2 linked regions of the Rattus norvegicus genome follow. The protein of the gene in region 1 interacts with the protein of each later gene in a biochemical or structural test. Links are inferred from orthologs where the notes say so. Each region holds a gene or a part of one and is shown on either strand. Other genes may lie near its edges. The genes, in order: Akap1 and Mycbp.

Region 1 (12,260 bases):
GTCTGTGTGCAGGGCCTCCCAGTATTATAAATTTGGGAAGCTGTGATAGTTACTGTGAGCTGGTGTCTGTGTGTGTATATATGTCGTTCCTCCCCTGCAGGTTCTGACGGGAACAGTATGGATTCAGTGGATAGCTGTTGTGGGCTTACGAAACCTGATAGCCCCCAGACTGTCCAGGCAGGCTCCAACCCTAAGAAGGTTGACCTCATCATCTGGGAGATCGAGGTGCCAAAGGTAAGGGCAGTGACTTTCCTTTAGGCTGGATTCTGTGGGAGCTCAAAATTTTTCAATGCCAGGGTTAAAGGATGTCAGCAAATTACATTAGATGACCAGGCTGGGAAGCTGCAGACTGTCTTTCCTCCCTCCCCTGTTTTGCTGGGTCCCCCAGGCTCCTCTGTGTGGGCTGGGGCTTAGGTCTTCTCTGTATACTAGCAAATGTCAGTCAGAGGAGTGAACGCCAGAGTCTCCCTGCTCTGCACTGTGAGGTGGACTCGATAACTGGGCAGAGTGTCAGCTGCTGTAGAGTACAGAAAGCCTGAGGCAGAAGCAAAGGCAGGCAGGCAGGCCAACCCCGAGCGGCTGTGTTCCCTCTCACCTCACACCCTGTGATTGTTAAACAAGCCAAGATTGTGGTGTCTTAACTAATACTTCTAAATTTTTAGCAACTTAATTTTCCTGTGCTAGTCTTTAAAAACATTGTTTTAACTGCATTGTTCATCGTAGGAATGCGAGGTGCTTCACCAGTCCCCAGCGCCTAAGTAGTTTCTAGCCCCTTGCTGTTAGAACTTAACCGCTTACTAGTGTTTGTCACTGGGGTTCAAAAGTAATTGGCAGACTGCTTAATCCCCAGGGCACTTGGCTCCAAGCTGAGTCTGAACTTTGGGTCAAGACTCCTAGGCTGACCCCGGGCTGCTGGCTCCCGTGGTAGTTTCTTTCCCTAGTGACCTTGTTATCAATCCTGCCCTCGGTGGTCACAGAGGGCATAGTGAGGCAGGCTCTGGGTGAGTAGGGACCATGTCCCTTGCCACCCTCCAGGGCTGGGGTCATTAGGAATTGTTGCAGGGCTTGCCTTACACTATGCTTAAGTCTGGCGTCTTCTGTTTGCCTGGAGTTCTGGTGCACTGGGCACTTGTATGTACTTGCTCTTCTTTAGTGGTGGGGTGGGAGTCTTGAGTGTTCTCATGCTTTCGTTGTCCAACCAGCTCTTTTGTCTGTGGCCCCTGGTGGACTTGGAGTGGCAGGGATGTTCAGAATGAGAGTCAGCCCTTAGAGCAGTGGATTATTAAGAGTGCATGCATGTGTAGGAGGGGTACTGTAATATTCCTGGTCTGGGACATACTGTTAGAATGAGATGCTGAGTCCTGGGCCAGGCTGTCCCCTTCAGCTGCTTAGCAGCTGTGTGGGCTTGTGTGGGTTCCAGAGCATGTCCCAGCTTGTTTCTCTTCATGTGGAAGATGATAAAGTTGTCTATCCGTAGGTACATAGTGAGCATAAGTGCTTAGAACAGTTCTGAAAAATACATGCTGACAGAAACGAATGGTGTGAGCTTGACTAAGCCTGGGTCCTTGGGCAGCGAGGAGTTGGTTTCCTGTCATCCTTACCTCTCTCTTTCCCTGGAAGCATTTAGTTGGTCGACTGATTGGCAAGCAGGGACGGTACGTGAGTTTTCTGAAGCAGACGTCTGGTGCCAAGATCTACATCTCCACCCTGCCTTACACACAGAACATCCAGATCTGCCACATAGAAGGTCAGTGGCGGTGGTGCCCTGTGCTTGGCTCCCTCGCCTGAATTCAACACAAGGCAGTAGCTTCCTGGTTGCAGCTGTCCATTTGGAAGTTTAGCTTTTAAATAGAAACTGTGGGTTTCTAGGTAGAGGGCATGCTGGGTGTCTTCCTACAGACTCCTCCGGTTCGGGTGCTTGTGGGAGACTGCCCCTCTGCACCATGTCTCTGTCTAGCCAGGGTGGGTGCTCAGTGACAGGGCCAGGGTCCTGGGTCACAGTGCCTGTCATCCACATTTCCCTCACAGTCACAGGTACCTTCTGGCTGAGGCCACTTGTGCCTTTCCCATCTGCCAGCTTCTTGGTGTGTTCAAAGCATGGGGACCAAAGGGGAGTGGATTTAAGTGACTTCATTCCTAACGCAAAGCCAGTGTTTGGCACCTTAGAAACCCTTGCACGCGAGAATCCCAAAGAGGCCTGAGGGTGGGTTTGTGTTTGCTGTCACTCTTCTTTTACCCACAGAGGCTGTGTCCTGTCCTTACCTGTAGGCTCTCAGCATCATGTGGACAAAGCTCTGAACTTGATTGGGAAGAAGTTTAAGGAGCTGAACCTCACCAATATCTATGCACCACCGCTGCCTTCTCTGGCACTGCCTTCCCTGCCGATGACATCGTGGGTGAGCATGCTCTACAGGATCTCAGTTCTTGACTCTTACCCAGTGGAGGCTCCTGGCGTGGGCTAAGCAGGCCAGTGGGTGTGTGTGCTCTTTGCTCTGGCCTCCACTCAGTTCTGCCGGTGTCTTCTCTGACGGCAGGAGAGAGTGCTGGTGAGAAGCCAGGGCCTCTTGAACCCATACTAGGAGGATTATACTTCCTTTCCTGCCCTGGGCATGCTTTCTTTTTTCTGGGCTTTTGACTATGGAAGACTGAGCTAGGTGACTGGGTGTGGGACTTCTGAGGAGGCCTGGGTAGGGTCTGCCAATAAGGATTTGTATGAGCTTAGATGGACTGCTACATTCTTTGTAGTCAGCTGGGCTGAATAGTGGCCCTGGCAAAGGACTCCCTCCTCTTGCCTCTCCTCAGAAACTGCCTGGATTTTAGTTGGTAAATGCAGAGTCCCTAGCCTGGAAGCCCAAGAAGTTGGCAGAAGAGAAGGTACTGTCTCCAGAGCGATGAGCAGGCCTGCCCCTGGCCCTTGCTGGGCCCCTTGTTGCTGAGAGTAGATGGCTCAGTTCTGTGGGCCACACACTGTTCACTGCATTTCAGAGGCTGAGCAAGCCGCTTCAGGAAGATTGCCCCTTCGGGTTTTGTTTAGGATGGTAGGTGTTTCACCTCTGTCTTTCCCAACCAGAGACCCTTGTGCTGTAGGGGGTGGAGGTAGGGTTCTTCCACTGTGGGCATTAGGGAATGGGGTAGGCTCCACTCCATGCTTTACTTCTGAATTAGAGGCTTTCTCAGAAGGCTTGGCTGTGGCCTCTCTTCCTTAATAATGGAATGGCTAGTGTGGGTGGTTTCCTTCCCTTGTGTTCTGCTTGCTCAGTGGGACTGGGGAGGAGACTCCAGGTGTTTTGAAGTCAGCAGGGCTACAGGGACCCATAGAAGTAAAGGATGTTCTTGGGGCCACTAGGTTTGAAGGCACAGTCCAAACCTTCCTGTGTTCAGAGCCCTGCTTTGTTGCCATAGCTTAGCGTCAGGGAAAAGGGTGCCAAGCATGGGGCTCTTAGAAGCCTCTGCTAGGACCTGTTGCACTGCCCCTTAGCAGATGAGCACACATTCAGACCCCACCCCAAAGTGAATCGAGGTGGAGGTGGATAGGATGCGATTGATCTAGGAGCCAATTAGAAGGCACAGAGGACTGAATAGGACACCAGGGGACCTGCCTTGAGGCTGCTGCTTGCTTTTCTGAGACAGGGAAATTCTTCCAAGCTCTAGAGTCAACTGTAGGTCCAAAGAGGCCTGAAGCAGCTCACCCAGGATTCTCCGGCATGTTGTTCTGAGCAAACTGCTCACTCCCACTTGCTTTCTTTGACTTAGACTCAACAAAAGAAGTGGGAAGGGCGGGTTGGGATTTAGCTCAGTGGTAGAGCGCTTAAGGCCCTGGGTTCGGTCCCCAACTCCGAAAAAAAGAAAAAAAAAAAGAAGAAGTGGGAAGGGGGCTGGAGAAATGGTTCAGCAGTTAGGAGCACTGCCTGTTCCTCTAGAGGACCTGGGTTCAATTCCCAGTACCCACACAGCAGCTCACAACTGTCTAATAACTACAGTTTCAGGGAATCCATGGCGGTGGCATGTGCATGGTCTGTGCATGCACACTCATATGTGTGTATATGTATGCGTGTGCATGCGTGTAGGCAAAAGATCCATACAAATAAAATAAATCTTTTAAAAAGAAAGGAAAAAGTCAAGGGAACTCAGTGAGCATGAACTAAAAATTCCAGAAGGAGTGGAAGGGAGGGGGAGGAGGGAGGGAGGGAGGGAGTGAGTGATGGGTTGATTGCTTGCATGCTCCAGGAGATAGACCCTTGCCCAGCCTGTGCAAGGAGTCGTCAGCACTGCATATATAGTTGGCCTCTGGCTGCCTAGTTTGGGTTAGGGGTCTCCCTTATCTTATCCCGAGGTGATGCTGCCTCTAATGGCAGGTTTCGGTATTACAATGCAACAGCCCACAGACCTCTGTTATCTGGGTGCCATGTTACTGTGCCAGCTCCTGGACTTGCCCTGGGGCTTCGGGACGTACCCCATACATGAGAATAACTGATATAGTGTTGGCTGCCTCTTCCTTCTCCAGCTCATGCTGCCTGATGGTATCACTGTGGAAGTCATCGTGGTCAACCAGGTCAATGCTGGGCACCTATTTGTACAGCAACACACACACCCCACCTTCCACGCACTGCGCAGCCTGGACCAGCAGATGTACCTCTGTTACTCTCAGCCTGGAATCCCCACCTTGCCCACCCCAGTGGAAAGTAAGTGCTGCCTGGAGAGTCAGGGACAGTCCTGGCTCCTGGTCAGGCCAAGACGTGTAGGCAAGGAGGGTTGCCCGTGTCAGCCTTGGTCTGGATCAGGAAAAGACTGTTCAGGCTCCCTTGTGTGACAGCATCCTTAAATTCTTGTGTCGTTATGGAATTATACTGGAGTGAGTTTTCTGGCTAGCCCAGTGCTAGCTCGTACTTTCACTGACCGGCCAAAGCAGTAGGATTGGAGTGGCGATTTGATGGGTGGACTCATCATAGCCCTGACACTTTACGTCTTCTTTTAAACATTTTTTTTTCTTTTCTTTTTTTCGGAGCTGGGGACCGAACCCAGGGCCTTGCGCTTGCTAGGCAAGTGCTCTACCCCTGAGCTAAATCCCCAACCCTAAACATTTTTTTTTTTTTTTGGTTCTTTTTTTTTTGGAGCTGGGGACCGAACCCAGGGCCTTGCACTTCCTAGGCAAGCGCTCTACCACTGAGCTAAATCCCCAACCCCACCTAAACATTTTTTTAAGATTAGATTCATTCATTTTATGTTATTCGTGAGTATTTTTGCCTGCATGTATGTATGTGCACCACATGTGTGCCTGGTGCCCATGGAGGTCAGAAAGGCTTTGGGTCCCCTGGAACTGTAGTTATGGAGGGTTGTGAACCACCATGTCGGTCGAGGAATCAAACCTAGGTCTTCAAGAACAACACATGCTCCTAACCACAGAACCACCTCTCCAGACTGGGTGTTGCGTCTTCTAAGTGGGGCGATACCGAGTGGTACCCAGGCTTGCCCACCAGGGAGTAGAGTGGAGATGCTGAGTGTCATGTGGGGCATTCGGGTGTAGCTTGTCACCTGTGCAGTGGTCTGGGTGAGTCGCTATCTCTCAAACAAGGGACTTGTTGAGGCAGCTTGAACAGGGCTGGGGTGTCCTGGTGCCTTTGTTGTTATATCAGTGGGTAGGGGACTAAATGCAAAACATGCCTCCTGTCTCCTCGTGGGCTTTGAAGTTATCTGTAGCCCCCTCCCCCCTTTGGGAGAATGGGGTTTTAATTTTCATCAGATTCTCCAGTAATCTAGCCCGAGATCAAGCTCAAACTGGAGTGGAAGCTTAGCTAGCTGCACTGGGGCTTTGCCGCCTGCATCAGGACCAGGTGTAGTTAGCTGCAGCAGATGCTAGAGGTGCTGCCGTGATCGGTACCTGACCCTGCCCAGCTCGGCTGCCTGGGGCACTCTGTACTTGTGAGGCAGAGGCTCAATGGTGTGAGCTATAGACCTAGGATGTCCTTCTGCCAGGCTCTCTGTTGGGGTTGTTGTGGAGTCAGGTAGACCAGGTCCTAGGTGCTGGGCCACTAAGCTTAGCAGTGCTTGATTCTCTCCGGGGACTTCCTTAGGCCCAGGGCTGGGAGGTAATTTAGTGAATGTTCGTCACAGGATGTGAGTTTGATTTTCTCACAGGAAGAAAGGAAGGAAAGCTGTGTATAGTATGCTTGTGCGCCAGCCCTGAGGAGGCAGAGATAGTCAGACTCCTGGAGTTCACTGACCAGCCAGCATTTTTTTTTAAAAGGCCCAATATCTGAGGAATGACACAACATCTGAGGAAGGTCATATCCGGCCTCCGCGTCCATGCATACACACATAGGGCAGGCCCTCACTCCTGCTCAGTGAGTTTTGTATTGTACTAGGTTTAGGCTACATCTCAGAGTCATGGACCCAGACTGAAGGTCCTTCAGGATTGGGTAGCTTTGGGGATGTGCTGAGCTGGATTTCCCATGTCCTGGGTTTTCCCTTGCTTGTCTTGGGCTCCGGGAGAGAGTTTGTGGAGGATTCGTGTTGTCCCTGTCCCCTCCCTGTGGAAATGCATGCCTCTGACAATGTGGGAAGGTGGGGAGCAATGACCAGGGTAGCCCTCACAGCCCTGCCCTAGGCCAGACGTGTCCCACACACTTGTCCTCCCACCCTGCAGTAACGGTTATCTGCGCTGCCCCTGGTGCGGACGGGGCCTGGTGGCGAGCCCAAGTAGTGGCCTCCTATGAGGAGACCAATGAGGTGGAGATTCGCTACGTGGACTATGGTGGATATAAGAGGGTGAAAGTCGACGTGCTCCGGCAAATTAGGTGAGTGGGACTCCTTGGCCAATCACAAGTCACCCCTGCATGGCATGGGTGCATGGCTCAGTTCTGCCCAGCTTCAGATGGGGCTGGAGTCTTCCCCTCCTGCTGCCAACTTTGTGTTCACATCAGATGTAGACAAAGGTGCTGACCTGCCTCAGCCTCACAGAACCAGGAAGCCGCTCAGTGGGAGGAGCCCCAGTGCCAGGCATGTGGAGTGAGAGACACCCGAGTTTACCCTCTGAGCCAGGCTGTAGCAGTTGTCCATCTGCAGTCAGGTGTGCTCGTCACCCTGGATTGTAGGTGTCGCTGTGCTGAGGTCAGATGCTGTTGGCCATGTTAAACCCATCCCTTCCTTGCCTTTCCAGGTCTGACTTTGTGACCCTGCCATTCCAAGGAGCAGAAGTCCTTCTGGACAGTGTGGTTCCGCTGTCAGGTAACAGGCGAGCCCCCAGCTGCTGGGGGAGGGGGTGAGGAACACTGGGGCCTGGGGCCCTCGCCTATCGCCTGTGTAGACAGTTGCTGTCACTGTTAGCTTCTGGTTGAATAGTCTAGACTGAGGCCCAGTGTCGGATGATGTCATTATGCAGCAAGGCGGGTCCAGGATAAGGTGAAGCCTATCATTGGATGAGAAGGAAGGGTGGGCGGGGAAAAGTCTAGGAAGAAGGGAGGAGGAGGAATGAGGGGAATCAAGATAGAGACAGTGGAGGAAGATGATTCCGATCCAGGTGGTCTAGGTCAATTTTATCCTGTCTAGGTGGGCAATTTCTATCTTTATTAATTGGCAGTGAATTTATTCTGTGGATGTATCTTAGATTGACTATTGAACACATAAATCTGATTGTTGGGTTACAGTTTGTTGAGTCTTGATGTTACCGGGTAGCTGGGACCAGAGTTCCTGGCTGGCCAGGGCTGACCGGGGCAACTAGCAATGGGACTGGAGGGACCCCTGGGGCTAGAAGGTAGCTAGGCTAACATGGTGTGGTGCACACTGGAACCAGCCACCGCTGAGATAAATTAGTGTTAGTTCTATATGGCCCTACAGTGCCAGAAGTAACGCCAGGGAGCAGCCGCCGGGTCTGAGAATACCAGGGGCCAGTGCGGAGCAGTGACACAGTAGCCTAAGATCTCAGATTTCTAGCAAGTCCCCAGGCGAAGCCAGAGCTGCTGTGGCCTCATTCAGGGTCTGCTGCTTTGCACTTTACCCAGCTGCCAGCCTGCGGTTCCACGAGGTTTTTTAGGATGTGGCCAGAGGGGACAGGCTCGGGGCCAGCACACTGCTTGGCACAATCTCCACTCCTTGGGTGGGGTGGGGACTGTGCTGACCTGCGTGTCTAAGACCGAGAGCATTGCTAGAGAACGGGTGCTGGGCTCATGTCCTCTGGCACGATAGGGTGGCGCTCACACGTCAGGGTGGCTGTGGGAGTCACATGTGTACTGATGTAGAAAGTGGTCAGATCGCAGCTTCTCACGCTGTAGGTAAGTCTGTCTGACCCGTTGCCCTCTCCCCTTCAGATCCTGTTGTGTCAGAGCCGTTTAAGTGCTCAAGACTTACCTCAGTGTAACCAGGCGTGATGCTGCACACTTGAAATCTCAGTATTCAGGAGGCCAAAGCAGGGGCATTGCCATGAGTTTGCTGTCTTTCTTTAAAAAAGGGGGGTGTGGTGCAGCGGCTGAAGTCCTGCCAGAGCACCGGCAGGCTCCCTCCCTCCCCCTCTTCCCCACCCGTCTCTGTGCTGTCCACCTAACAGTCTGGCCAGCCCACGGAAATAGCCCTGCTTCATCACAAGACTTGCCCACCACAGCTTAAAGCTCTCCTCCCACCCTCCTGCTCCCTGCCTTGGCCTGTTCTCTTATCTGTCACTTTATACTCGAGCCACCTGAGTCCTGCCCACTAGAGGACGTCCACCCACACTGGGCCCTGCTGGGACTAGAATGCTGCCTAATTGTAATCCAGCATGTGGGAGCCCGTTGCCCTTTGGGGATCAGCCTTTGCCCATAAAGTAGACATGCCCGCCCTTCTGTCTTCTGGGCGTTGCGGGTTTGGTTGGAAGTACACAAATGTGTTCACCCCCCCATCCTGTGTGCCCTATGCCTTGGGGGGCACATGCAGCTGGGGCTCCCCTGTGTTTACCCACGTGAGTCACAGAGGCATAGACTCAGCTGGTAAGGTGGTTGTCCTAGACACAGTCCTGCAGTCTGCAGTGTCTGGAGCAGCCTATAAGTGACGAGACTGTTTTGCCCCAGAGGGCGTCTGAACTGTTTTGTCTTTTTCTTCTTTTCTAGATGATGATCACTTTTCACCCGAGGCAGACGCAGCCATGAGTGAGATGACAGGCAATACAGCACTGCTGGCCCAGGTGTGTGTGGGGGAGTAGGAGGCTGGCCCAGGCGTGGGGGGGAGGGGGGAGGCTGACCCAGGGGTGTGTATGTGTGTGTGTGTGTGTTTGGGGGGTGTGCAGAAACCTGGCCCAGATGTGTGGTGGGAGTAGGGAGCTGACCCAGGTGGGGGGTGGGGGTGGGGCAGGAGACTGGCCCAGGTGTGTGTGTATGTGGGGGAGTAGGAGGCTGACCCAGGTGTGTCTGGGGGTGGGGGGGTGGGGGTGGGGTGGGGGACAGGAGGCTGACCCAGGTGCATGGCAGAGAGCAGGAGACTGGCCCAGGTGTGGGAGGGGGGCAGGAGGCTGGAGACCAGCCAGGGGCTGTCAGGGGAGTCTCCTGCCTAGTGCAGCTAAGTGTCCCGACTTCTTGAGATCGGACACTTAAATTCCTTCAGACCCCTATGGTCATGGGGCTGGAGTGACCAGCAAGCTTGAAGTGCATAAGCCAGGCCTGGCACACTCCTTTAATTGGAGCACTCTGAAGGCTAAGGCAGGAAAATTTTGAGTTTGAGACCTGTCTAGGTTACTTGGTAAAACTCGTCTCAAGTTTTAAGTGTGTACAGCCTAAGATGTTTTTATGCCCCATGTCCCTCCAGGTGACAAGCTACAGTGCAACTGGCCTTCCTCTGATTCAGCTATGGAGTGTGGTTGGAGATGAAGTGAGTCTGCCCCTTTCTACCCAAGCTGCTGTCAGCAGCACAGGCTGACTGGGAACTAGTTTTGGCCACTCTTAGACAACATGATCGTGGGCCAGTGCCACTCAGGGGACACTGGGCATCAGGGTTGGGAGTGATGGTATTAGTGTCATGTAGTGCCATGAAGCTAGATGTGCTTGCTTGAGACCTAGCCCCTAGGTACCAGGCAGAATTCTCAAGAAAACTCTCTTTTCCAGGTGGTGTTGATAAACCGGTCGCTGGTGGAGCGGGGCCTGGCACAGTGGGTAGACAGCTGCTATGCCAGCCTTTGACCGTGGCTCCTGGGCTGCTTCGGTCTTCTTTGCACTGTTGAGATTGGGTTTGGCACCCAGGACAGAGATTTAACAGCAGAGTAACGAACACTGTTCTCACTGAGTCTTCTTTCCCCATTCTGTAGTCCTGTGGAGAAGGAGACTCCTCCCAGGAGGAGCTGGGTATCCTTTCAAAGCCTTAGAGTGGCGGGCGCTTCACCAGCCAGCTGGCTTAGCCTGGCTGGAGGCTGTCTGGCGGGAGGTCTCTCAGCCAGGCTGTCCCATTCCCATCCCATCCGTTCCCCTCTCCCCACCCAAACCCCACACACTGCAGCAGGCAGGCCAGGGCGGGTGTGGGGCTGGCTGAGAGGGTCAATTTCAGAGTCTTTATTCAGGGAGTGAGACACGGACTAATCGGTATGGATTCCCTGTGTGGCTCACTTGGATGAGTTGACGGTGTTTAGCAGTTTTTATATACTTCCTCCGGGTCTCTGGGAACTCAAGACTTTTTTAAACATAGGTGTAAATAAGGAGCGATTGTCACACCTGACCCCAGTGAGTGGGGAGAGGGGAAGCTATTATCTTGCCAAGCCTGGTTGTAATTTGTAACCATTTTCTATTTGTGCAAACTCTGTAAATATGTTTAAAAATGTAATATTTTGTACAAGACACACTGGAGAACAAAGGGAACTTAAAACTCTTCCACAAGTCCACCCATCCCATGGAGTGGGACTAACTCCCCTGCTGCTCCAGCCAGGGGCCCTGAGCTTCTGTGCAGACAGGAAGCTGTATGGGAGACTGTCATTGGGGATTTGATTTTTTTTTCCTGTACGCATTTAAAAAAAACCTTCATTGGATTACCTTGCAGTGGTGTGTTTGACTTTTATAGGCTGTCTTTAGCATTGTGCAATTTAAGAATAACTTAAGTATCATGGACTTTACATAAATTTTGAATTGTATAAACTATAACCTTGAGTCCATTTTTTTTTTCTTCAGTGGTGGCAGAAATTTGGGGCTGGGACTAAGGAGTAGTGGCGAGTGGTGTGGTAGAGGGTCCAGCTGTGGCTCTCAAGGGCCACGGTGAAAGAAAGGGAGGACCCAAAACCTTAGAAGACATTCTGGCCTGCTCTTCCCCCTGCTCCCACCAGGTGGCAGCCCAGCTTCCTCTGGCCTCTGCATTGAGAGAACACAGGGTGTGGTGTAGAGAAAGGCTGTGGAAGGTAGAGGATAGAGACACAGGCTCCTCTGGCCAACGCCATAGGGTCTGGGGAGGATGTAGGTTCTCGGTCTCTCAGATCTTAAGGTCTCAGTCATCCTTGGAGGGTGGTTCTACGGGGCGTGGTTGGGAGTTCGGGAGAAAAGGAGGTTGGAGGGCCAATCATGAAGGTATGAACCCTACAAAAGACAGACACTTTTCAGAGGAGCAGGCGTTTGGGGTTTTCCAAGTTAGTTTATCTGAGACTCCTGTTACTAGGGGTCATCAAAGGCATCTTAGCCTGATCCAGCCAACTGCTGGGGGTGAGGGTGGAATCTCGGGGACTGAATCTTGGGGACTGCCCTTCGATGGTACTGTTTCTTCCAGCTCACTGCTGGCGTTAGTATCCTCTGAGCCCTGAGAGACACAGGAGTAGCTGGTCACTGCAGAGCCTAGGTTCTAGGTTACCTGCTACTGCAAGTATAGCTTTGCTTATGCCAAGACCAGCATCCAGCTCCTGAGAACTGAAGTCACTTACAGCCGTCACACTAGAGGACTCCCACAGTGATCTGTGCCGTGCTGTGGTGATACGGAATCCACAAGCCTGTGAGGCAGGAACCCTTCCTGGCTGAGCTACTTAAAGCAGAACAGAGCAGAGCCAAGTCTCAAGGCCAGCCACTCCCCAGTCGAAGTGCTGTTAACCACTTATCTAAGTAGCAAGGAACCCCATGCTCACCTAGGTTTATGTCCCCTGACAAATGCCAGTACTTAAATGGTCGGCCAGAGGGATAGTTTTAGATCATAGGGGAACAGGGGAATACAGGGCCATTGATGGTTTTGCTTCTGTGAAAGGCTTAAAAGTCAAGTATGAATCAAGCCAGGAAAAGTTTGTAACATCTGAGCCAAAGGGTGAGTGCTCTTTATGTAAGATGACCTAGAAGGAAAAATCA
Region 2 (12,306 bases), on another chromosome or scaffold:
TGGGTAAAAGTACTTGCTTCACAAGCCTACTGCCCTGCAGAGTTTGATCTCTGCAACTCACTGAAACAGTCAGGTGTGGTAGCAAGCATGCATGGTCCCAGAACCCCTACAGCGAGATGGGAGGCACAGACAGGTGGGTTGGCAGCTAACTTGGTCGTGCCATCTTGTCTATGAGTCCAGCTGTCAGGCTATGCTTTGATGTGGTATTCTGTTATCCATGTATGCTCCTGTGTGCCACTTTTAGGTGTGATATGTTAGAGTTTAAAAAGCAGCCTATAAGTAAACAAATATAAATTCAGGTCAAATTCCTTCCAATTCCTAAGACCTAAGCAAATCTAAGTTTTTTTTTTTTTTTTTAAGTTTATAAGTTAAAAAGAAAAACAAGTTGGATAGTGGTGGCACACACCTGTAATCTCAGCACTTTGGAGGCAGAGGTTGGCAGATCTCTGGGAGTTCGAGGCCAGCTTAGTCTACAGAGCACGTTCTAGGACAACCAGTGATATAAACCTGGGCTGTCTCAACCTCCCCTCCCACTCAAAAAAAAATATCCAGGACTGATAATACATTATCTTGTGCTACTATTAGATACTTAAATGTCAATGCCTTAATTTCAAAACTGCGTTTTGGGTTTTCATTACAATAATCTATGCAAAAGTCGGTAAGTGTAATAAAAGGCTGATAGAACTGGACAGACAGGGTTTTGGGTTGTCCTTGGTATGATGTCCAGATTATATCCCAGAGAGTTAAGCAAGAGATATTACTGGGTATCAGGATTCCCATTTGCAGGTTCTTTTTTTTTTTTTTTTTTTGGTTCTTTTTTTCGGAGCTGGGGACCGAACCCAGGGCCTTGCACTTCCTAGGCAAGCGCTCTACCACTGAGCTAAATCCCCAACCCCCCATTTGCAGGTTCTTAGTCTTGTTGATAAAAGAATTTAAGATTTATAAGGAAGCTTGACCATTAGATTTTGAAAGAAAACCCATACGGCAGGCAAGCTACAATCTGTCAGCAAATGGGGGAGAAGAAAAAAGGGAGAGCAAAGGAGATTTCCTCATCTCATGCGGGCTCAACTCAGGAACCAGAGGCTCACAGTCCCAGGAAGCACCCAGTGAGTCAATGGCTCTGAGTCCTTGTCTGCAAACTTGGCATTCATGGCTGATAAAGGGCGAAGGGTTTGTTCTGTTTGAGACAGAATCTCAGCATGTGACTCAGGCTGGCCTTTCACTCGCAGAGATCTGCCTGCCTCTGACTCCTGAATGCTAGATGCTAGGATTAAAGGCGCATGTTGCCATTCTTAGTAGTGAAGGTTTTCTAATCACTTTTATTTTAAAATATTTCTGTTACATTTATTGTGCACGTGTGTGTGTGTGTGTGTGTGTGTGTGTGTGTGCGAGAGAGAGAGAGAGAGAGAGAGAGAGAGAGAGAGAGTGCTGGGAGAACATGTGGAGGTCAGATGGTACTTTGCAGTACTTTGATCTCCTCTCTATGACAGTTCCAGGGATCAGGCTTTCAAGTCAAGTGCCCTTATCCACTGAGTCAGCTCATTGGTCTACCTAAGATGAGTTTTGTTTTTTTTTTAAGAGCTTATTAAAGAGTAAAAGTTTAAAAAAAGAAGGATTTTAGTTTACTAAAGAAAGCAGAGGTTGGGACAAGAGCCAGATCTCCAGAGAGGGCCCAAGAGAGGACTATGGAAAAGGTTAGATTGGCTCCACGATAGGAGGTCCTAAGAAAGGAGAAAAAAATCCAGGGCTACACTGTAGGGGCTTTTTCCAGGATGTAAGGCAGAATCTGGACAAACACCAAGGGAATTTTATTGAGAGTTAATTCTCTGAGCATCACCTTCAGTCAGGGGAGAGCTTACCTGCTCTATACATGTTTCTCTGTTCCCAACCAAGGAGGTGACCGACCATTCACATTCACTGACTCTTCATTTGTTGCTCACTCAGAGGGGATGGGGGAGGGTGAAGCTCTGTCTTCCCTTGTCAGCTGTTGACCTGGCTTGTCTACTGGCCAGGTCACTAGTTGTTGATTTTAAAGATGGCGGTGGTCTCAGGCTATGGTAGGGTCCGCTAGTCATTAATTCAACTCTATTTTTGTCCTCACCTTTATGTAGTAAGCATGAGGTTCTATCAAAGAATCACCACGTACTTAGAGGGAGCTAACTCTTGCTGCAGTTAATACGATGCGGTTGCAGCTTTTGTTGGTTACCTCATATCCAGCTCCTTATGTACAGGAGTGTGGAGTAGCCTCTCTCCAGGTCAAGGGGAGCCATGCTTTGCCATAATTAAGCCGGTTACAACTGGCAGTATTAGGAGGTAGCACTATGAAAAGGTAACAATGCCTTACTTAGTTTCCTGGGATTGAGTTAGGAGGTCACACATGGTGAGACCCTGCCTCAAAACAACCCCTCCCCCCCAGACAAACAAATGTAAAAATCCCAAAAAGCCCAACTAAGAAAACTGGATGAGTCTGCAATGCCTGAGACCAGCGACTGGACCAGGGAGGAAGGGCATTACTGACAAGATCAAAGGGAGGCAGGCAGCACCCATCGAGAGGAACTGTGCTTTGTACTTTCTCTTCAGTTGGTGGTTGAAGCTGGGTTCATGACTGGACAGTTTTTTTCCACATGAGTTTAAGTTCTGTGGCTTCTCATGACCGAATATGATTTTTTTCTTAAGACCAAGAGAAAAGACAGTATTTTCGTTATTTGTGCAATATAGAGCCATCGTTTCGCTTTTCTTAAACAGTCTAAAAACTATGCAGCTAGGGGCCAGTAAGATGGTAGGTAAAGGCACTTGTCGCCAAGCCTGACAATCGTAATTCAATTACTGAGTCAGAAGGAGAGCAAGTCCTGTGAGTCTTGGATCTCCAACCGCACCGAGGCATGAATACCCTGCCCCAAAAAGGTGAGGATAGGGCCTTACATTGAAACAAGAACACAATGAATTCTTTGTTTTGTTTTGGAGACAGGGTCTCTCTGTGTAGCCTTGGTCATCTTGGACCAGGCTGGCTTCGAACTCAAGAGATTCAGCCGCCTCTCCTTTCCTCGCACTGAGACTAAATTCGTAAGCCACCAGCGCTCGGTGAATAGAATGACTTCTATTCAAAGACATCAAAACAATATCTAGCCAAGTAGCAGGCACAACAACAAATTCACCAAAGGGCCCTCTTCTGCACCCAGAAATGTTCTCAGTAAACAAAACAAAACAAACAAACCCAGCAGCATAGCCACATTTTAAATTCATCTTCTGCATGTAGGGTGGCTTCTGGATGGGTAAAGTGGGATAAGCATTTTTGAACGAAGGAGGAACTAGAGAGACATACATACTTAGTACTACCTATAATTATTTTCAACATAAATACATGCATAATATATGGAAAAGAACTTAATGTTAACTACCAACGGGGTAAAAAAAAAAAAAAAAAACAAAAAGAAAACTAATGACACAAAGGCAGGGAAAAGAATCACGACTTCAGAGGTCTTTCACCTAATCCAACATTACTGTAGAGATAAATTTTCTCCCAGCCAGCTGCTATCTGCAAACCGTACTGGGCTTACATGAGCACCCTGAACATGGAGTCCAAGAGAGATTCAAACTCTTTATATAGCTCAGGGTGACCTTGAACTTTTTCCTGTTTTGCTTTCACCTCTCCTGTGCTGGGTATTTTTCTGAGAGCCAAGAAACACTGAAACACCGGTTCCCCACCAAAGACCTAAAAGACAAGGAGTGCGCGACTACTACCACGTGGAGAGATGCTACGCTTAAAGCATCTAACTCCCGGACACACCCATACTGGGCCTCACAGGACGTTCGTTCGGCTTTACCGAAACCTCGCCTCTTGCTAGGCAACCGAATCTCCGCGGCGACCGGAACAGGAAGATGCGAGACTGCCCGGAACCGCGTAGGGCAGGCGCACGCAGTCTCTCTGGGCTCCGAGGAGACAAGGATACACAGCGTCCCGGTCGCCATGAAAACAGGCCACACCCCGGCGGTCCCGGCCCGTGCCTGCCCAGTGCGCAGACGCGCGCGCCGTTCCGCGCAGGAGCAGTGAGGCTTGGAGCCCGCCAGCCAGTGTCTCCGGCGCCAGCTACGCCGCTGTGGCTGTCACTATGGCCCATTACAAAGTGAGGGGGGCGCGGCGTGGCTCGGGGCGTGCGGGCGGCGCCGGGTGGGAGTTGGGGCGCGTGCAGGGCTTGGGGCCGGCGGCGGGGCGCGCCGTCTTCCTGCTCCGGCCCCGGGCTCCGGTCCCTGACCCGCCGTGTCTCCTCAGGCCGCCGACTCGAAGCGCGAGCAGTTCCGGAGGTACTTGGAGAAGTCGGGGGTGCTGGACACGCTGACGAAAGGTGAGCGGAGGCGGGCGGCTGCAGCCAAGGTCCGCGCGCTCTTGACCAGGTGGGGCCCGCCCGGGGACTAGCGAGGCCTTGGGGTCCCATGGGTTGAGCGCACACCGGCCGCGGGACTTTGCCTCACCCCCGTGGTCGCTCTCTGCCCGGGACTGAAACTCTTGCAGCTGTTGCAAAGTCTCTCCAACTTCCGTTGCTTTCCCTCGAGCAGTCGCAGTGGACACGTTAGCAAGAGACCTTGAGGTCCCAATTGCTCCCGCCGTATAGTGTGCGGGATTTTACAAATTTTTCCTTTGGACAAAGGCAACTAAGAAAATTACTGGATTTGAAAGTGGGTTATTAAGTGGCTCTAGTCCCCGAAGCTGGAGAGTATCACAGACAGTTTGGGCTGTGGCTTTTCAACTCTTTCAGCCTGTAGTAATTCCTACTTTGTGTAGATATCATAATTAAAGTGGAATTACAATTTGAAAAGTGCTTCAGAGCACATAAAAATGGCTATACTCTTTACTTTAAAACAATGGAAGATTACTTTTAAAGTGCATCCCTTCCTTTCTGGGAGTAAGGTTAGAGGGTATGGTGATTGAACCCAAGGATTCCCGGAAAGAGAATACAGCTAAACTGTCCTTAACAGTATATTGAATACCTGCTACATGTTGAGTAAGAACTCAACATTGCTTGGTGTTTCCAAGGGAATAGAATGGAATGGCTGGCAGGGATTGAACCCTTGGTCCTTTTGAGAATAGGAGGTGTCTGGGAAATAATTTTGTATCTGCTTTTTAGTGAAACAAAAGCTAGGGGAAAATTTGGAAGGACTTAGAAGAAAGCAGGGCTTTTAATTCTTTTACATGGATGAACTGACAAGTTAGAATTACTACTAATTTCCTTATGTAGTTTTGCAAGTCGATGTGAGCAACATATAAGGAACTGCTCTGTGAGACCACTGTACTTTGTGGCATCGGAAGTGTCACAGATGGCTTGGAATTCTGGTAAAAACCCCTCATGTTTCTTTGATGTGATGATTTTATTCCAGCCTGTGTTCTGGGTACCAAGGGCACAGCCACAGACATGTCCCTGCTTTTGGGAGCTTGTTAGGGACACACACTGTAACACAGTGCCAGCTAGTGGTTGACATATAATTTAAACCATAGCCAGGATAAAGGTGTGACATTTTACATGGAGTAGCAGAGGGCAGACCGTGAACAGAATTTAAAGTATAGATAAGTATAAAATTTGAAATCTGGATTGCTCCCAAATCTGTAACTTACTGAGCATTGATGTGGAAAATCCCATACTTGACTACATAAATTATGTCAGTCATAATTCAGGAGCCTAGGAGTATGTACTTGTTCAAGACCATGTTCATCTTATGTGGATGAGGTCCGAATGGAATGTAAGTGAAGTTCAAGTTTCCGCTTGGATCTCATCCCCAAAATGTCTCATTATTCATGAGTAGACATTTCAACCTCTGGAGATAAAGACTGATACACTTTTGATCCCAAATAATCTGTGTGGGGAGGGCAGGGGGAAAGAAATGGATGCGGTGAGTGGACAGGCGAGAGCAGTACAAGGCAGATGGACAGCAACTGGAGATAACTGAATGCAGGCTGTTTAAGAGAATGGAAACCAATTTTAAAGGGTCAAACATAGATGCTTTATACACGTTTACATCTTCCTATCAGCAACATTTCAGAGAGGATTTAAAGTTGTTTTTAACATCAAAACAATGTAAGAAGCCAGGCATGGTGACATGTTTTTAGTGCTCTAGTGAGGGAAGGCCGATCGGCATTCACTGCTTGCCTGGAGCGCATATCAAGACCTGTCTCTCTCTAAAACAGTAAACGAGAGCTAGGCTAGAGAGATGGCTTAGAGGTTAAGACTACCTGATATACAACTACAGGGACTAAAGTCGAGATACCGGCACTCATGTACTAAACCAGGCGGTCTGTGTGTGTGTGTGTTCCCAGCCTAGCCAAAAGGATGGAAGCTCCAGGCTGGGAGACCTTGTCTCAAAGGTTTGAGGCATATGCAGAAGACTGTCGACATCTTGTTTCATTTCTAATTGCACTTGACCAGTTGAAATAGGAGGACTGCTTGAGTCTGTGACCAGCCTTGGATAAAGAGTAAAACTACATCTTAAAAACAAAAAACCAAACTTAACCAACCAGCCAAAAAACAAACAAACAAGCAAAAACAACAACAACAAAAAACAAACAAACCCAAAACCAAAACCCAAATTGTATAACCTTCTAGACAAAAGCATCCAGGAAGAAGGTGAATGGATGGAATAGCATTTTAGTTATTCTGAGCAGGGTAGCAAACTTTAAAAGGCTCTAAGTACCTAGGCTGCTAAGGGCTAGCCAGAAGGCTCAGCAGGTGAAGGTGCTTGCTGCCAAGCCAAGTGGACCTGAGTTTGATTCGCAGAGGGTATAGGTCTCTGAACTGTGTCCTCTGATTTCTACCTCCTCCCCAATATTGTAATAACAGTAAATTTAGCTTCTAAAGCAAAAGCGAATATGATTTGGTTGAATTCTCTTCAGATAAAAAGCACAATTATTCCACAGAAAAGAACACAAAACTTAACACTTTGTGGCTCCAGCCATGCAGACACCAAGGCAGGAATTTGGGAGCTGGAGGGAAGTGAGGATGCAGTGACGGAAGGAAAAGGCAAGAGCACTAATAGTCACACCCTGTAGATCCTTGCCGGCCTAGTGGTGCAAGTGTTTAATCTCAGCACCTGGGAGGCAGCACTCAGAGAGGCAGGCAGTTTCTGTGAGCTCAAGGCCACCCTAGTTTACATAGTTTCAGGACAGCAAGGGCTGCACAGAGAGATGCCATCTTTAAAAGTAAGTAAATAATGACTAAGACTCCGTACAGATCAGTGGAAGTAAATGAAGAAACACTTTTAAATGTATTTTTTAAAGCAAAAAAGTAGTAGTAGGGATTTGAGATAATGTAACATACTAAGAGATGGTCAGATAGTTGCGATATAAATGTGGATTTCTCAAAAAACTGTGTATTTTGGTGTAAAAGTGCTTGCTCACTTGACATTTTTCATATTGTCTGTACTTTGTCATTAAAACTCGAAAACCCAGCACATGTACATTGGTTTACAACAGGATTTCTTAATTTGGACTCTCAAGTTATGCACATTGAAGTTGCATATTTTACTTTTGTCAGATTTTTATAACACTTGTACGGGGGGGGGGGGGTGCTGAGGCAGGAGGATTGCCATGAGTTTGAGGCTAGCTGGTAGTACAATAGTGAATTGTAGGTCAGCTTGGGTTACCTGTCTCAGCAACACACTGACTCAAGCATACACAGCCTTAGGAGAGTTTTTCAAATTGTCCTCAGCACAAGTGTGGAGACCTTGCCCCCTGCATACTGAATCCTTGTTCAGTAGGTGAGAGACAGTGTTGACAGGAAGTGCTAGCACATTGTTAATGCCAGTCTGAGCATGTTGACTGTGGTAACGTTTTTTTGGTTGGTGCCTAGCTTGTCATACATGAAACTTAATTCTTGAACGTTTCAAATGGAATGCTGTTAATTACCTAAAATGTCTTCAAGTACATTACATTAGATTTTTTGTTTTTGAGACAGGGCTCCTTGTAGTTCAGGTCTCCAGCTCATTGCTTTTCCAGGAATGATCTTGAACTCCTTAGTCCCCTGCTTCACCTCCTTAGTACTGAGAGTACAGGTATGGGTACCCGGCTTTCTTCTGGGCCATTTTCCATGTCCCACTTAAGTCAGGCTTGTATACAGCATTCAGGAGTGACCCTGCTACCTCCTTGCTTTCAAACTGTTGAAATAATGTTTGTAGTCCTTAGGATCAAAATTCAACTAAGCTTTTCTCAGTTGTCTCAGTCTGGCCCCAGACTATCTTTCCTTTTATTACCCACAACCCCACAACATACTTGACCTGTTGGTTCCCTTGTATATGCTTTGAGCTTTTCCATTTAATCTGAAATGCAGCTAGGTCTCAGATCTGCCTCTGATGCTGAGTATTCTAAAACTCACTAACCACTATTACAGCTGAGTATTCTCTTAGTTCCTTATCTTTTACGACAGATTGATGAGTTTGTTGCTAGCAAGGGTACTGTCTGACTTGTTCACCACTGTATGGACAGGACAGTCTTAGCAATCTGCTCACCGTACAGCAGGCAGACAGTGTTTACTGAGTTTCAGAATATTTCAGCCGTCTACACTGGAGACTTAATTGTTCTTTCTCTTTGATTTGCAGTGTTGGTAGCCTTATATGAAGAACCAGAGAAGCCCACCAGTGCTCTGGAGTATCCTTTTCATCTCTGAAGGGAAAAAGCCATATTTCTGACATTTTTATTTATTCACATATATAATGCGCTTTCAATACTTTGTTTGTTGAAAAGTTCTTTTGACTCTTCACCTGACCCTGGACAACCGCTGTGGTGTGGTGGTGACTGTCCTGGCCCACCCTGCTCTGAGTATGTTCTTAACACTGATGTCAGCTTTTTAAAGCATCACTTAGGAGCTGCCACCCCGGAGAACCCAGAAATAGAGCTGCTTCGCCTAGAATTGGCAGAAATGAAAGAGAAATATGAAGCTACTGTAGAAGAAAATAAAAAACTGAAAGCAAAGGTAAATTTAAAAACCAAATTCAAATTAAAAAGTAATCTTGCCTCTAATGATTATCTGACCAATCCTTACTGCAGGCCAGGGATATAGCTCAGTGGTCGAGCGTCTTTCTGGCATGAGTAGAAGGTCCTGGGTTCCATCTGTAGCATGATAAAACCACAGTAAACAACTAAACCCAAAACTCCACTAATGGGTAGCAGGGAGGGACAGTATCAGTTTCAGTCAGATCCATGGCAAACTTAAGCCTCATCTAGAAAAGTCCCAAGACCGATAAAAAGTTGGATAGGCAAGTATAGTCACGAAAAGGGAGTGAGAACCTACATCAATGAAAAGGTGGGGACATTGGCTGATACTGCTTAAAGTAAGTTCTTAAGCTGTTTAGGTCAGTCTAGGCCACTGCGTTGTTAAGACACAGTCTGCATTGTCTGAAGCATGCTAGCTCCAGGTTCTCAAAAGGACGGAAGAAAGCTGTACTCGACTTTATCTAGAGCTGAAATTTGCCTTTGCTCAAATTCCCATAAACATGAGCATCAATCAGAGTCTGAGGTTTATCACATTCCGAACCACACGATGTAATTCCCAGTCTGAACCTAATTGAAAGAGGTCAAGTCTTCTGAAGTCTAGTGTTCTTGTAAGCAGTCACAAATTTCTATAAAAGAAAAGGCAAGGTTTTAAATCACTAAGGATGCTGAGATCTGTAGTTGGTAGTTGCTCTGTAGACCAGGATAGCTTGAAACTCAGGGCAGACCTGCCTCTGCCTCCCTGTTGCTGATGTAAAACTTCCTGGCACTTTTAAAGTCAGACATCGGCTTCCCATCGGCTGACCATACTAACAGAACCATGCAGTGACTGAACAGTTCAGTCGTGAACTGAGGCGTGAGTTTAGTTCCCCAGCAATGCTAAAGATTTATACAAAAAAGGCTTTTGTTAGGTTTAATTGTACTCAACCTTAAGTAAGTGAATGGTTTAAGAAGGATAATACAGAAATTGATTACTGACTCAACTAAGTTGAATATATTATCTAATTTCATTGTATTACTAAGTTTTTTACCCAACTTAAATAAAATTCATCTAAATCCTCTGTCTTTGCCCCATAGCTTGTTCAGTATGAACCACCTCAGGAGGAGAAGCGTGCTGAATAGGATTCTTCTCAGTTGAAAAGACACTGAAAACTGGTTTTGTATCACTTGAATAGCTTGTATAGTATATGATCTTTCCTGAAAAGATGCTATAAACTTTTAATATGTTAAATTCACTCATCACACTTTAATGTTATAAACACATATACATAGAATCACCAATAAAAACTCAATATAACTTTCTTTGGGTCTTAAAGCAGGAGAATCCAAAGTAGATCGTGAAGAAAAGCTAAAGAGCCACCTAACTTTTCACCCTGACAGCATTTTATTTATTACTCAGTTAGGAATAATGGTACTGGTTGTATTTTAGCTAGAAGATTTAGCAGGGAGCTATTCCTTGGTCCAGGACTTGAGCATAGTAGGCACACTCATTCTTGACAGCGTATATTTCCTGGAGACAGCTGGACATATCTGTGATGTACAATGCTTTTGCATGGGTTCCCATGCACTTCTGCTCTTTTATAGAAATCGAGAACAAACAGCTCTTCTTTGCCACCACTTTGCCTTAGACAACTGTGCGTGCCAGTGTGAACGCTGACACCACGTTTTCCTTCTATGCAATCATGCCTATCTGATAATGCTGCCTTGCTGTGTGTGCTTTAGTGTGTTCTGGTTGCACATTAGTCTGGGTCATTTTCAGTTTGTGTAATGCTGCAGCTACCTTTGATTGTAATTTACATGCTTCCCACAGGACTACACTCTTACCCTGCCTTCCTTCCTTCCTTCCTTCCTTCCTTCCTTCCTTCCTTCCTTCCTTAGTTGAGCACAGAAGAGAGATAAAAGTCTGGGTTCATACACAAACTGGGATGGGAAAGGAGATGAACTGTCTATGTCACAGATAATTATAATAAGTAATTATATAGTGATTTCTTTCCCTTCAAACATTTTTTTGAGCCTTGAATTCACTTTATCTTTATTATCCCTGTGAAGTAGGTAGGGCAGGTAAAGGGAAGGTTGGGTGTTGAATTTTTAGGCCAAAGACTGACACACAGATTTGTTGCTAACTGTAGAAACCTGAGTAGGTCAGTTAATGGTTTGGAGACCCCCATCCTCATCTGTACCATGAAAACATTTGCTGCCTACCTCACAGGGTTGTTGTGAGGTCAAATGAGAGAATGTATATGAAAGATTTGTAAATGGTAAAGTACTTGTTTTGTTAATCCTTTTCTTTCTTTTTTGGTAGGGGACAGTCTCATGTACCAAGGGCTGGCCTTTAATTCCTGCCTCCAACTCACGAATGCTGGGGTTATAGGCACTCCCACTCCATCCGGCCCTTTCCCTTTTTCCTGGCAAGAATCACAGTCAGAGGTGTTGTCGATTACTTGCCTTCTTCCCTGACAGGCACATAAGCCCTTCTATACCACATCTTCTAGCCTTGTCTTTAAACTTTGATCATAGCACACATCCAGTCAAAGCTGGTTTAACCAGTCAAGGTACTGGCACCTGCTGGAAACTCTGACCAAGCCATTTACCAAGGCATTGCAATCAGTCACATTGGCAGGACTGTGGCAATGGCCTGCATTGTTTCTGGAAGGTGGCCAGATACTGAAAGAACATGTAGCTGGGCAGATTCTCTTTGTTTACCAATTTAGGTGCCTTCTGGAATGGATATCACTGGGCTAAGTGCTGGTGAGACACATGCAAACATCGACAAGGTGGTTAGGATGTGCAAAGAATTGTAGGCATAATGAAACAGGGCCTCATGAGAATTTGGTAGAGAGGGGACTTAGCTTCTTAGTGGTTTGTATGGCCATTATTTTGTTGATACTGATAACTACATTTTGTTTTCCGGCTACTAGTCTTCCCCACTCCTCTTGTAGTACTATTCACTCATTCATTCATTCATCTCACTGTAAATATTATGTAGCTGTGATTGGCCTGGAACTATGTAGCTGATGGTAGCCTCAAACTCAAGAGTCTCATTCCTCTGCTTCCCAAGTGCTGGGATTAAAGCTGTGTACTTCCCTGCCGGTTTAATGATATGTTTATGTCAGTAGGTCTGTGACTGTCTTGAACCATTCTGTTGCACATTAGTTGCAGTGTGTGGGCTAGATTACCACCTGTAGGTGGAACTGACTTGAGCCAGCCACTGATACTGAAGAATTCAAATTCTGGGCCTGGAGAGATGGCTCAGTGCTTAAGTGCACTGACTGCTCTTCCAGAGGTCCTGAGTTCAATTCCCAGCACCCACATGGTGGCCCACAACCGCCTATAGT

Evidence for each region.
Region 2: the proteins of Akap1 (region 1) and Mycbp form a complex in vitro, tested with the Homo sapiens proteins (2 studies listed by BioGRID). The link is inferred for Rattus norvegicus from reciprocal best matches to the Homo sapiens genes AKAP1 and MYCBP.

Annotation. Positions count from the first base shown.
Region 1 is NC_086028.1:74,117,056-74,129,315, reverse strand, and holds the end of Akap1 (A-kinase anchor protein 1, mitochondrial), read left to right. Parts: intron 1-100; coding exon 101-234; intron 235-1,620; coding exon 1,621-1,747; intron 1,748-2,242; coding exon of another isoform or gene 2,243-2,268; coding exon 2,269-2,396; intron 2,397-4,504; coding exon 4,505-4,682; intron 4,683-6,643; coding exon 6,644-6,794; intron 6,795-7,156; coding exon 7,157-7,224; intron 7,225-9,074; coding exon 9,075-9,148; intron 9,149-9,765; coding exon 9,766-9,828; intron 9,829-10,061; coding exon 10,062-10,136; 3' UTR 10,137-11,084; downstream 11,085-12,260.
Region 2 is NC_086023.1:141,416,689-141,428,994, forward strand, and holds Mycbp (C-Myc-binding protein), read left to right. Parts: upstream 1-4,038; 5' UTR 4,039-4,109; coding exon 4,110-4,124; intron 4,125-4,270; coding exon 4,271-4,343; intron 4,344-8,580; coding exon 8,581-8,629; intron 8,630-8,824; coding exon 8,825-8,954; intron 8,955-10,048; coding exon 10,049-10,093; 3' UTR 10,094-11,250; downstream 11,251-12,306. UniProt on the Homo sapiens protein: May control the transcriptional activity of MYC. Stimulates the activation of E box-dependent transcription by MYC.